3 linked regions of the Coturnix japonica genome follow. The protein of the gene in region 3 interacts with the protein of the main gene of each other region in a pairwise test. Links are inferred from orthologs where the notes say so. Each region holds a gene or a part of one and is shown on either strand. Other genes may lie near its edges.

Region 1 (3,500 bases), on a different chromosome or scaffold from region 3:
ACTAACTCTTCCACCTGAAATTCTGCTTTTAACCTCAGTATGATGAATTAACTAGCTTCTCTTTATTAACTCATTGCTATCTACCATGCTCTGATCCTAGTCAGATTAGCCGCTCACATGAATACAGTCACGAACATTGGGTTGATTTCCAACATGAGGTACACAACACATTCCTTTTCTTGTCTCATCTCTGGCTGAGGTGTATTTTAAGCATGTAATCAGCTCACTGTGTTATGGAGACCCTTCTTCTGCAGGCGCTTGCAAAGAAGGTAACACAATCATTCTACTTGATAGGAACAGAGTGTTGCCCAGAGGGTATCTCCAGAAATCATTTCAGATACATTGAGACATGTGAATTAGCAGCCAGAGTTGGCACTAATACATTTAATTTCAGTGTCCTAGTTCAGTTTTGCTGACCACTGGTACAAAAACATTTTATGATACAACTGAATTCTTTTAGAATTGGATACATAACTTGAACTTCTAAATACCACAGAACAGACATTGATTTTCCATTCCCCAATCTGTGACATCCTTCACATGAAACCAACATACAAATGTGACATCCTGGGAGGGGTTTCAGAATCTCACAGTACTTAAACGTACAGTAGTTTTTAATTTCACTGGTCATTTGCTCTAATGAGGTGAAAATGTCCTCTTACCATTGAAACAGTGATTTTTTCATTCTTCCAGTAGTTCATATTATTAAAAATGAAATTGAGAACAAACATCTCCATACTGTATTTGAACCCATCCAGCTTCACAAAAGTAAAGTATCATGTACAGTAACCAGCTTTTCTCCCCCCAGTATCTGTGCAGCTACAGTTTTAAATTACTCAACAGAAAAGGCACTAAAGTACTTTGCTTTACCTGTTCTGTAAACTTGTTAATTATTTCGTTTCAATTTACTAGAATCTTACCTTTCTGATTTTTTCCTTTGTTACTTATTACTGATTGGCAAGTTCAGCTAATTATGTGCTTCCAGGCCTCAAGCACAAGCATGCAGCAATCAGAGCTGGCTGCCAGGGGTCAGTCTATCACTTGTGCTGGTTCTAAATCAGAAGTGCTGTTGAGATGGTGGAGGGCACTGTGACAGCCAGCAATCCCATGAAGCTTCCCTTCACCTCCTGTTTTAACTCATCAACATAAACAAATTTTTTGCTACTCATATCCTAACCTGAACTAGTAATTATTTATTTTTACTACAAATTAAATATTTTGTCTACAAGTATTAAATGTAAGGTTGCACACATTCTGCTCAGGCATTTCCTTTTTCAGAAATGAAGGTTTACTGCATTCAAAACATAACAGTAAAGCTACAGGAAGGACCTGGAGGCAGACATTTCCAGGTCACCTCAGCGGGGTATTTTATACAGAGAACTGCTCCTGATCTTTCTGTCCCCACTGGGTGGCACTGTAAGCAGGTACAAGTTGATACAGAGAATTTAGATGTAGCACAAATTATTATTTTAAAACAAATTTCTAGAAAGTTTTGTATGAAGCCACAGGTCCCTTGTTTATATACCCTTACAAGAAAAAGAAGTCAATCAAACTTCTGCAGCCCATATTTCAACCACTCCAGTGATTATACTACTTCATATAAAGTTTCCCATGGTTCAAAGACAATTAAGTGAAGCACAGGTTATTCTCACTAGCTTTTTATTTTTAATAAAACAAAAAACAACTGTGGCTTAATCTTCAGTTACAGTAGTAGCAGTAGGCTTTAGAATCTGAAAGTACGTAGATAGATGCTGACTGAACATTCATCTAACATTTACCTGAAACAGATCTAAGCACTGTACACGCAATTAAATTACCATAAACTTGAGCAACATCATTTACTGACATTGATGAAAAAATTTTTGGGAGATATTCCTTACTGCCAAAGAAGGAAGGCAAAGCTGAAATCTAAAACAGAAAAAAAAACCAACAGAAAATCCAGCAATTCACCAATGATTTCAGTTACCAGGAGTATAGCTACAGGTTAGGAGGCAGCATGGACAGACCTTAAGTACAGGTCTCAAACGTGGGAAAGGGAGGGCTTGAGCTTCTGTTTTCAAGTCTACAGCACAGCATACAACTGACTGATGCCATATTCACTCTGTCACTGTGACAGAGGTAATTTTGTCTGCTTCCTCACTCTGCAGTCATCTCACACAGACCTCTATGCTATCACTGACTGACAGCATAGAGTCCATGACAGTCCAGATTCTAAGTTAACCTATTTAAATACATTTGAATATTCAGAGTAGCGCAGACACCATCTTATATTTTTAAGCATTAAGATGAAAAATGGATTGTAGGCTCCTAAGAGTCTTAAAACCCACTGGTTTATCTAAGTGGGGGTGGAGGTGATGAATCATACCAGCTGATCTCAGACAAGCACAGTCAGGAGATGAGAATAGATACTAAAACCCATTCTTAAACTGAATCTACACTTCCAAATATGTTTATTTTAAAGTTAAGCACAAAACATTCAGCAAGTGATGCTGCAGGCATTTTTGGTACTAAATAAAGAAGCAGTACCTTATATACTTTTGAATTAAACTTACTTGATCTTGCACTTGTAATGAAGTGTTTTGTTCTGAAGTCTCTGTGCTTTCTGGCTTTGTGGGATTTGCATGTTGCTGTACACCAGAACTTGACGCGACACTTAAATCATTGCTCTGATTCTGGGGAAAAAAAAAATAAATACAGATACACTTTGGTCAAAATACTGACTTTTGACAGATACTGCAGAATTTCCACGTTTCAGGAAATAATATCATACCAAAATATACAACATCTGGCATGTGTTCATGATGCTTTTCTTTTTATTTTCAAAGGAGAAAATAAAAGAAAATAAAGACAGGCTTTCCATATTCTTTTCCCACATTAGCTGCTAAGGAGGATATTAAATCAAGAACTTCATACTAAAAGCAACTTACAAAAAAGCTTTTGTCAGAAATCATTCTAGAGTGATTGGATAAAGAGCTTGTTGGTGACTTATTTTCACTAGATTTTAATAACGTGCAAGTATTTTCGGAAGATGTTAACTGGGTTTTAGGTGAAAAAAGCTAAAAGGACAAGGAAGTCACAGACAGTAAGTTTACAAACTCTTTACAGATTGTGTTGATTTCCATATTCAACAAATACATAAGTAAACAATATTTATTACAGTTTAAAGCACAGAGGAAAAGCAACTGTAGGACCAGCAGCCTGGCATTCAGGTGAACTACACCTTACCCCTGTGACAGAGCTCAACATCAGCACAACACACAATCTCTTTTGTCACTTACCTGTTACAGCAACAAAATACAGGCTAAACCTTTCAACAAGAAGTTAGAAACAATCTGAGCTTTATTTATGTTTTCTAAAAATATTCGAGAGGAATAAATACAAAATCAAAATTATCTATGGACAGAAACAAACAACTCCTGTCTTTATGTGTTTTAGCCGCTAACTTCAAAGGTCTCTTTTGGGGCCCGAAATTGTGGACTGCCTTACAGTTACAGAAACAA
Region 2 (3,500 bases), on a different chromosome or scaffold from region 3:
GTAATAAAATGTTGATCTTTGCACCATCTGAAAAGTGAACTGAAAGCCAAAGTAGACAAAAGAATTCTAGCTCTCTTCGTCTTTTACTCTTTCCACTCTCTTGTACAAAAGTGCAGTTGTGTTGAGCTAAATTTAGCTGCAGTTAACTTTACATTTAAGAATTCATGAATAATATCAAAAGTCACTCTATTTTTTTTATATGTGTATCATACTGCGTATTGTTTTTACAGTACCTGAGCAAGGTTCATGAGAGTGTCTCTAAAGTGGCCTGAAGTCTCAGAATCGATATCTTGTTGAAGATCATTGTTGTATTCTAGATTGAAACAAAAATGTGTAACTTAAGTACAAAACGAATGTGCTCTGAATACTATTCATGAGAGTAAGCAAAAAAAGGGTAAACGCATGGGGTGCAAATAGAGACTTGTTTTCTAAAGGTATTAAAAATTATTCCACAGGAACTCATGCAGGTTCTGCAGACCTAAATACTGAGGGAATCCTCCTTGCCAAAGCCTCAGCCACTGCACCAGCTCACCCACCCTCCTGCCTGTGCCTGGCAGCCCTGGCACTGATGCAGCTGCGTGATTCTGGGATACTCAGAAGCACCCCTCAAAGAAGGTGAGTTGAATATTCAGCACGAATAAACACTTTTTGAGAAAAACAGTAGATGTACTTCAGAAAAATGTGTGCAGAAGTTTATGAAAATCCCCAAATGTGGCTGCCAGCTATTTAAAATGTAACAGGCAGCAGTAAATCTCCAGAATACATTCATTTTGCTTCAGCTTTTTAAGTATAATTGTAAAAAGGGAGGAAGAGGAAGGGAACCATGCTGAGAAGTCACTTTAGTAATTTAGTTCTTTCACTCATGCTAACACATCCAGCCTAATACACATATCAGAGCTGCTGTTGTACGCTTGTAAAATACATTACGTGTTAAGTAGGCTTCTTTCATCTGGAATATCTCCATATTTGTTCTTGAGGCTAATATGTCAATTAGACACTTTTCTTCTGTGTTTACTCCCTGTGTAGAAGGAAGTAAATATGAAATCATTAGGAACCACAGCATCCAGAAGAAAGAAATGCTTTATTAGGTGTAACAAAAGAATAACAGTTTCTTCTGGAGCAGTGTCTGGCATGCCTTTGCATAATATACATATTTAAACAAGAGTTGACTTCAAGTTAATTGTCAAAACCTGTACAGCAAATATACTCCTGCTTACTTTGAATTTCAGAATATGTGTTAATAAGTAGGGAAGGAAGCAAGACTGCTGTTGACAGAAACACAATGGGAAGAATTTTAGAGCTTGAATAAGAGTTTAAGAGTTACTGAGAGAAATCAGTTGCAAAGATTGTGTATATGTGTCAGCAAGTGTTCAAGCCAGTCTGAAGTAGATAAGAACTCCAGTGTCATGTAGTGTTTTTGTCTTTTTTTCTATTCTTTTTTATTTGTTTGGGAATGTTATTGTCTGTAATGTATGCCATAAAACTTGGTAGTTCAGGAAAGTGTCACTGCCACTTAGACACTGCTGCAAGCATTTTCTATCAGGATTCTAAGTAATTTTCTGAGCTTGAGTTGACATAAGATAGTGGGCAGCTTTCTGTATTCAGATGTATATTGTTGATAAGTATACTGTATATGGGATAATGGGAGAATATGGCTTTGAGCCTGAGCCTGGAGACTGAAACATGGTCTTTACTTCAGCTATGTGAATCCAGATTGAGAGAGAGTACTGCGAAATTCAACTTGAAACCACATTCAGATAAAACGTGACTTTGCCGATCTTGGCCATAATGTTGATAAAAGTCATGCTTCTAATGGTATGAATGATACTTAACAGTTCTTTTAATGCCAACAGTAATTTTAAAAAGTATATCAGTAGTTGTAAAAAGTATATTGGTTTCCTAGTCTGTAGGACACAGGAAAACAATTTTTTGCTGTTTTTTTGAAAGAGTTTTTTGCTCAGAGCCACACGATCTGTATCTTACTTGTGACAGTGGGCAGTTGTCAGTAGCTATAGAAAGTGAAGGAAAACTGTCAGTCTGGGGCATGCCTTCCCATCTTACAGGATTTGGCAATTTAGGAATGTCCTGAGAAAGAATTTGTAAAGAATGATTATTTTTAATAGCCAAGAGCAAACTTGTATTCTAAGAATTTTTCAAGTCTTTTTTGATCCAATTTGAACCAATTTGTGCTTTTGGTTTCAATATGGACACGCAGCACTAAATTTCACCTTTTAATTGCATGATGTTTGAAAAAAAAAAAACATTTCAAAAAAAATGTCTTGTTTTAATTTGGTTGTTTAAACAACACCAGCTCAGATCCTGGGAAAAAAAGGAAATTTTTTATTTTAAATAGGCAGTCAGTTCATTTTGAATCTATGTTAGTAACATACATAAAGGTTCACAAGACCAGAGCCTTACATTTGCTGCTATAAGTATTTTTTATTTTACCCAGTTTACCGCAATGTATTTGTTACATAGCTAGGTTGCTATTTTTTGGTTTTAGCATACTAGTTAAATAAACTTAGTGTAGCGCTCATATATACTCACATGTCAGTGTACTTTGAAACATCTTTTTAGCAGTTTCTCAAGCATTTAAATATATAAAATTCACTTTAACTTATATTTAGTAATATAAACAGTGACCATGTGTCTGAGTAGCTGTTAATTAGGCCAATACCTTTAGTGCATGCCAGAGCTCATGGGCATCATAGTATGCAGGTGGATACATTAGGCCAACCATGACTTCTTTGAAGTGATGAGAGAGATTCTCTTTTAGGTCTGTCATCAAATCCTTAACAAAAATACATAGGATTATTTCAACAGTCACACTTTATGAAAATCAGCATACAAATATTTGCAGTTTTCTCTGTGAAGGAGTGAAGATGAACTGTCTGAGATAAAGTCTACCCAATATTAGGCAACATTTATCTTTCAAAATAGAACCTACTCCTTTTAATTGTACTTGTGAGATAGCAGTGGACACGGAAGGAAGTAGACTATATAGGCTTGTTTTTTTTTTTGATTCATTAGAATATGGAAGAAAATTCAGGGGTTCAAATGCAACTGTTCCTCAAGGGCTTGGAAATCTGAATACCACAGCAAGAGCATTTGCAGCTTCCCATAGCAGATTCTGCATCTGAATCTGCAAGAGCTCAGCCCACAGAAATTAAAACCCATAACAGACAGGCAATTTCCTTATGTTTTTCTGGGTTATTTGCTATGCGATTAATTTAAAAGTCATTCTTAAAAACTCATCCCAGTACATAAGAATACCTGCTCTGGATTACTGGAAGGCTTTGTGCTTCTCATACAGTACTGGGCAGCTGTCTGAAATTGTAGGAGTAGCAGAAATGCTTCCCAATATATAAACTTTATTTATTTGAGAGGCTTTTTTTTTTTTCAGGCCTGTACTTTACGTTTGATGCATATCGTAACATAATTAAATTAGTTGCTAGACTGGGAATGAAGAAATACAAATACAGATTAAAATTTGGGTTTGT
Region 3 (3,500 bases):
CTCCTGGCACTCAGCTGACTTCAGCACTGCTGCTCTTTGTAGCTTAGCATATCCCCCTTTCAGCTGCTAAACAAAGAAATCCAGATTTCATCAAGTGACAGCCCATCATCGCTCCAAGCATTCTGAATACCCTTCTGTCCTTCTCACTACAAAAAGCACTCGACTGAAAGCCAGGAACAGCAGGCAACTTACAACTGTTTACAAAAGCTTTTGCTAGCTAGCTGGTAGCATTTCCTAAGCAAAAGTAAACTTCCTCAGCTAACACAAAGAAAACTGCCCTCTGTGGGGAAAAATACATCAAGATACACAGTGAAGGGATGCACAGTTTGCAGGGCTGTGAACGTGCCCTGCACAGCACAGTGAAAAGGGAGCTGTAGTTGGCAATACCTGTTGTGTAACATGACAACTTTTCTTCCAAACAGATCCAGAATTCCATACGGGAGACTAATCACCCAGCAGCAGCTAATGAGGCTAGCAAGACCCTGCAGCTACAGAGAGAGGGTCACCACTCTCCCTCTGCAAACTTGCCAAGAGCAAAACAAAACAGCAGCGCTTTCACAGGGCTGCTCCGTTGTGCACACTGCAGACAGGGTGCCAAGAGTTTCCATAGGAAACAATGGAGTTCAGCAAATGATTTCTTTTCCAACCTCTGAATTTCCACCCTGAGGTTTGCTGGTTACGGCACAACAGTTTTCCTCCCAGGAATTATGCTTCTAGAAAATCATATCAGCTGCACTTCTCCAACAGTTTGGTTAGCCTTTGTTTCGGTCTAGACATACGTAGAGGCTCTGTCTCTTCCAAAATAAGCCAGCTGGAAGATGAATTGACAGATAACACGTTTTAAAATCCTCACACAAAGGAAGAAGTGCTTATTCACACATAGTACAGCCCATTGGGAGCCTCAAGCCACAGGGTGCTGTAGCAATACTGAAAGCTTGCACAGAATTAACGTGTTATTGCTTAAACTAAGCAGAAAGGAAAAAAAAGGCATCAGAAGCTATTAATACAGATCTGAACCACTTCTGCTTCAGGAAGTCTTGAAGTTGTCAAACATAGCAGATCAACAGGAAGGCGGATGCCACAAAAGGAAAACTCAGATATCATATCACTGCCTAGCAGAACCAGTAAGAAAATGACGTTTTTCTACAGAAAAGCAGCAAATCACTGTGAATGAATCAACTTCCTTCCAACAAGTGTTTCACACCCCAGATGGAGTTTTTCTGGGTAGAGAAAGAATGATGGGCTAAGGACCTGAGCACACTCACGCTCAGTGGTCAGACTGCCAGGATCCAGCTATTTAGTGCCCCTCTACAAAAACATCTGGCATTTGATTTTATGCTGGTGTGAAACAGCTGCCCTGGGGTGCCAAAGCTCCTTCACTGCTATGGTTGGAAGACCCAGAGCTGTTTCTTTTTACACCAATGGCATTAAAAGTTCCTTATAACCACATAATGATGACGCACCGGAATAGGCTGCCCAAGGAGGCTGTGGATGCCCCATCCCTGCAGGCATTCAAGGCCAGGCTGGATGTGGCTCTGGGCAGCCTGGTCTGGTGGTTGCTGACCTTGCACATGGCATTGTGGTCCTTTTCAACTCAGGCCATTCTATGATTCTGCGATAGAATACTTGAAATCTCCTGCCTTCTATCAAAGAAAGCAGGAATTATGGCATGGCTCCCATCAAAGCATGGTTCCTCTTCAGTTTCCATTCCTTTTAATCCAATCTTCAGTTTCACTCCTTACTGCAGAAAACTTACCTTGTTGTCCTACCTGAATATTTCTGATCTCAGAAATATTGCAAATAAAGGCTACAGACACATAAGAGAGACACAGATCCAACCTTACATGAGTGAATGTACCACACTAAGCTGACAGACACCAGATGTACCCCAGCAAAGCTGCAGAGCTTGCACCCTTATCATGAAGGGAGCTGGCATACCCGTGCAGAATTCTTTGTTAGCATTCTGGGGTACCACAATCCGTCTGTAGACTATGGGCTCTGACTCCAAGATGTTCTCATCGTGCCGATAGCGAGCTGGCTTTTCATTCGGGGTCCCACGGGAACGGGTGCCGCTCCTCCTCTCGTAAGTCTCAATCTCCTCAAACACAGCTGCCTTGTCAAAAAGGGCCAGGTTCCCTTCAAAATCAAAATCAGTGTCTGGGATTTCATCAATGTCGTCCCCGAAGCACTCGTCATCTTTGCTCTTCATCTGCCCGTTTTTCAGCCCGCTCTTCTTTGGAGTCACCTGGTTTGGATGGCGGCTACTGGATGACCCTAAACAAAAATAAAAGCAAGTTTTATAAGGGAGGACAGCTCACATTTGGTGTCTACTGACCAAGGAGATGCTTGTTTCTCAAAGCACCCGCAGACCTCATCTTTGGTATTACTCACGCTGAGATAAGCTAACAAAAAACAGAAGAAAAGGCACCAGGGAATAGACTTTCAGGGACTTTCCTTTGGCAAGACTAGAAAAACAAGAAAAAGCTTGCCCACAGTAGGCAAACCAAGCGTTTCTACTCATTTAATTCAAGATAGGGTTATGTTAGTGATAAGATAACAAAAGAGCCCTGGTCTAGGACTACCTTATTCCTACTACATTGGGCTTTTACCAGAGTAAAACCAACTATCCCCAAGCACCCTTGTTAGCTCCGAGTCAGATAACAGAGGTCCCTGCAGCAACACAGCTAACTTCTCTAAAGGGTTTATCCTATTTATCCTAACCTCGCTGTATCTCTAACCATAGCACAAAGCCACTACAAAGCCACAGTTATTAGTACAGTGGTCAGCATGAAACTCCAGATACAGCATGGTGCAGTCAGCAGCACCAAACCTCATCAACACTCTACTTCTAGAGTCTCAATAATAATTGGATGTCATTACTAACTATAGTAGGTCGCTCATCTATAGACTCATTTTCAAGCTGCTGGAGACTACATAGTTTATTTCAGTAGTTTGTTCTCACTCAGTTATACACCTTTCATCAAGAAGCTACTTAAGCATAGAGAGCATTAGGGAAGAATTGCTGGTAACAACATAGAGGGAAAGGACAAGGCTCTCCAGCAAGAATTACAGTATGGGAGCTGCAACCAGTTATTCACATACAGTTTTAAGAGAAAGGTTTTACTAACACATGATTTTCACTCTCTCCCCCTCAGAGGGAGGATTCCCAAACCAAAGTTAACACGCAAATCACTCCAAAGCTGTACACAACTTGGCATGGAGCTGGCAGACATTGCATTCAACACTGCTGCTAACAGCAGCACAAGAAACACAAACCCAGGCCAACACAACGGGCCAAGTCTCCAAATGTTTCACTGACTGCAGGTCAAAGCAACAGACTCAAAGTTCACATAAACGAGAGCTTGCACTGAACACAATGAGAAAACAAGCTCATTTCTTGTGTGACTGTCAGATGTTAGGGCAGCTCGATCTGTTCCTGTTATCCAACAAGAGTCCTTACACTCACTGCCAGGTTTTTCTCCAAACTACTCTCTCCTCTA

What was found. The genes of interacting proteins can lie anywhere in the genome.
Region 1: the proteins of EDC3 (region 3) and DCP1A interact in binary tests that used the Homo sapiens proteins (3 or more experiments, as listed by UniProt). The two-hybrid records come from large-scale screens. The link is inferred for Coturnix japonica from reciprocal best matches to the Homo sapiens genes EDC3 and DCP1A.
Region 2: the proteins of EDC3 (region 3) and ANXA10 interact in binary tests that used the Homo sapiens proteins (3 or more experiments, as listed by UniProt). The link is inferred for Coturnix japonica from reciprocal best matches to the Homo sapiens genes EDC3 and ANXA10.

The regions. Positions count from the first base shown.
Region 1 is NC_029527.1:4,964,762-4,968,261, forward strand, and holds part of DCP1A (mRNA-decapping enzyme 1A), read right to left. Parts: intron 2,673-3,500; coding exon 2,553-2,672; intron 1-2,552. UniProt on the Homo sapiens protein: Necessary for the degradation of mRNAs, both in normal mRNA turnover and in nonsense-mediated mRNA decay. Removes the 7-methyl guanine cap structure from mRNA molecules, yielding a 5'-phosphorylated mRNA fragment and 7m-GDP.
Region 2 is NC_029519.1:21,816,809-21,820,308, reverse strand, and holds part of ANXA10 (annexin A10), read right to left. Parts: intron 2,792-3,500; coding exon 2,678-2,791; intron 1,019-2,677; coding exon 928-1,018; intron 314-927; coding exon 234-313; intron 1-233.
Region 3 is NC_029525.1:1,779,618-1,783,117, reverse strand, and holds part of EDC3 (enhancer of mRNA-decapping protein 3), read right to left. Parts: intron 2,275-3,500; coding exon 1,939-2,274; intron 1-1,938. UniProt on the Homo sapiens protein: Binds single-stranded RNA. Involved in the process of mRNA degradation and in the positive regulation of mRNA decapping. May play a role in spermiogenesis and oogenesis.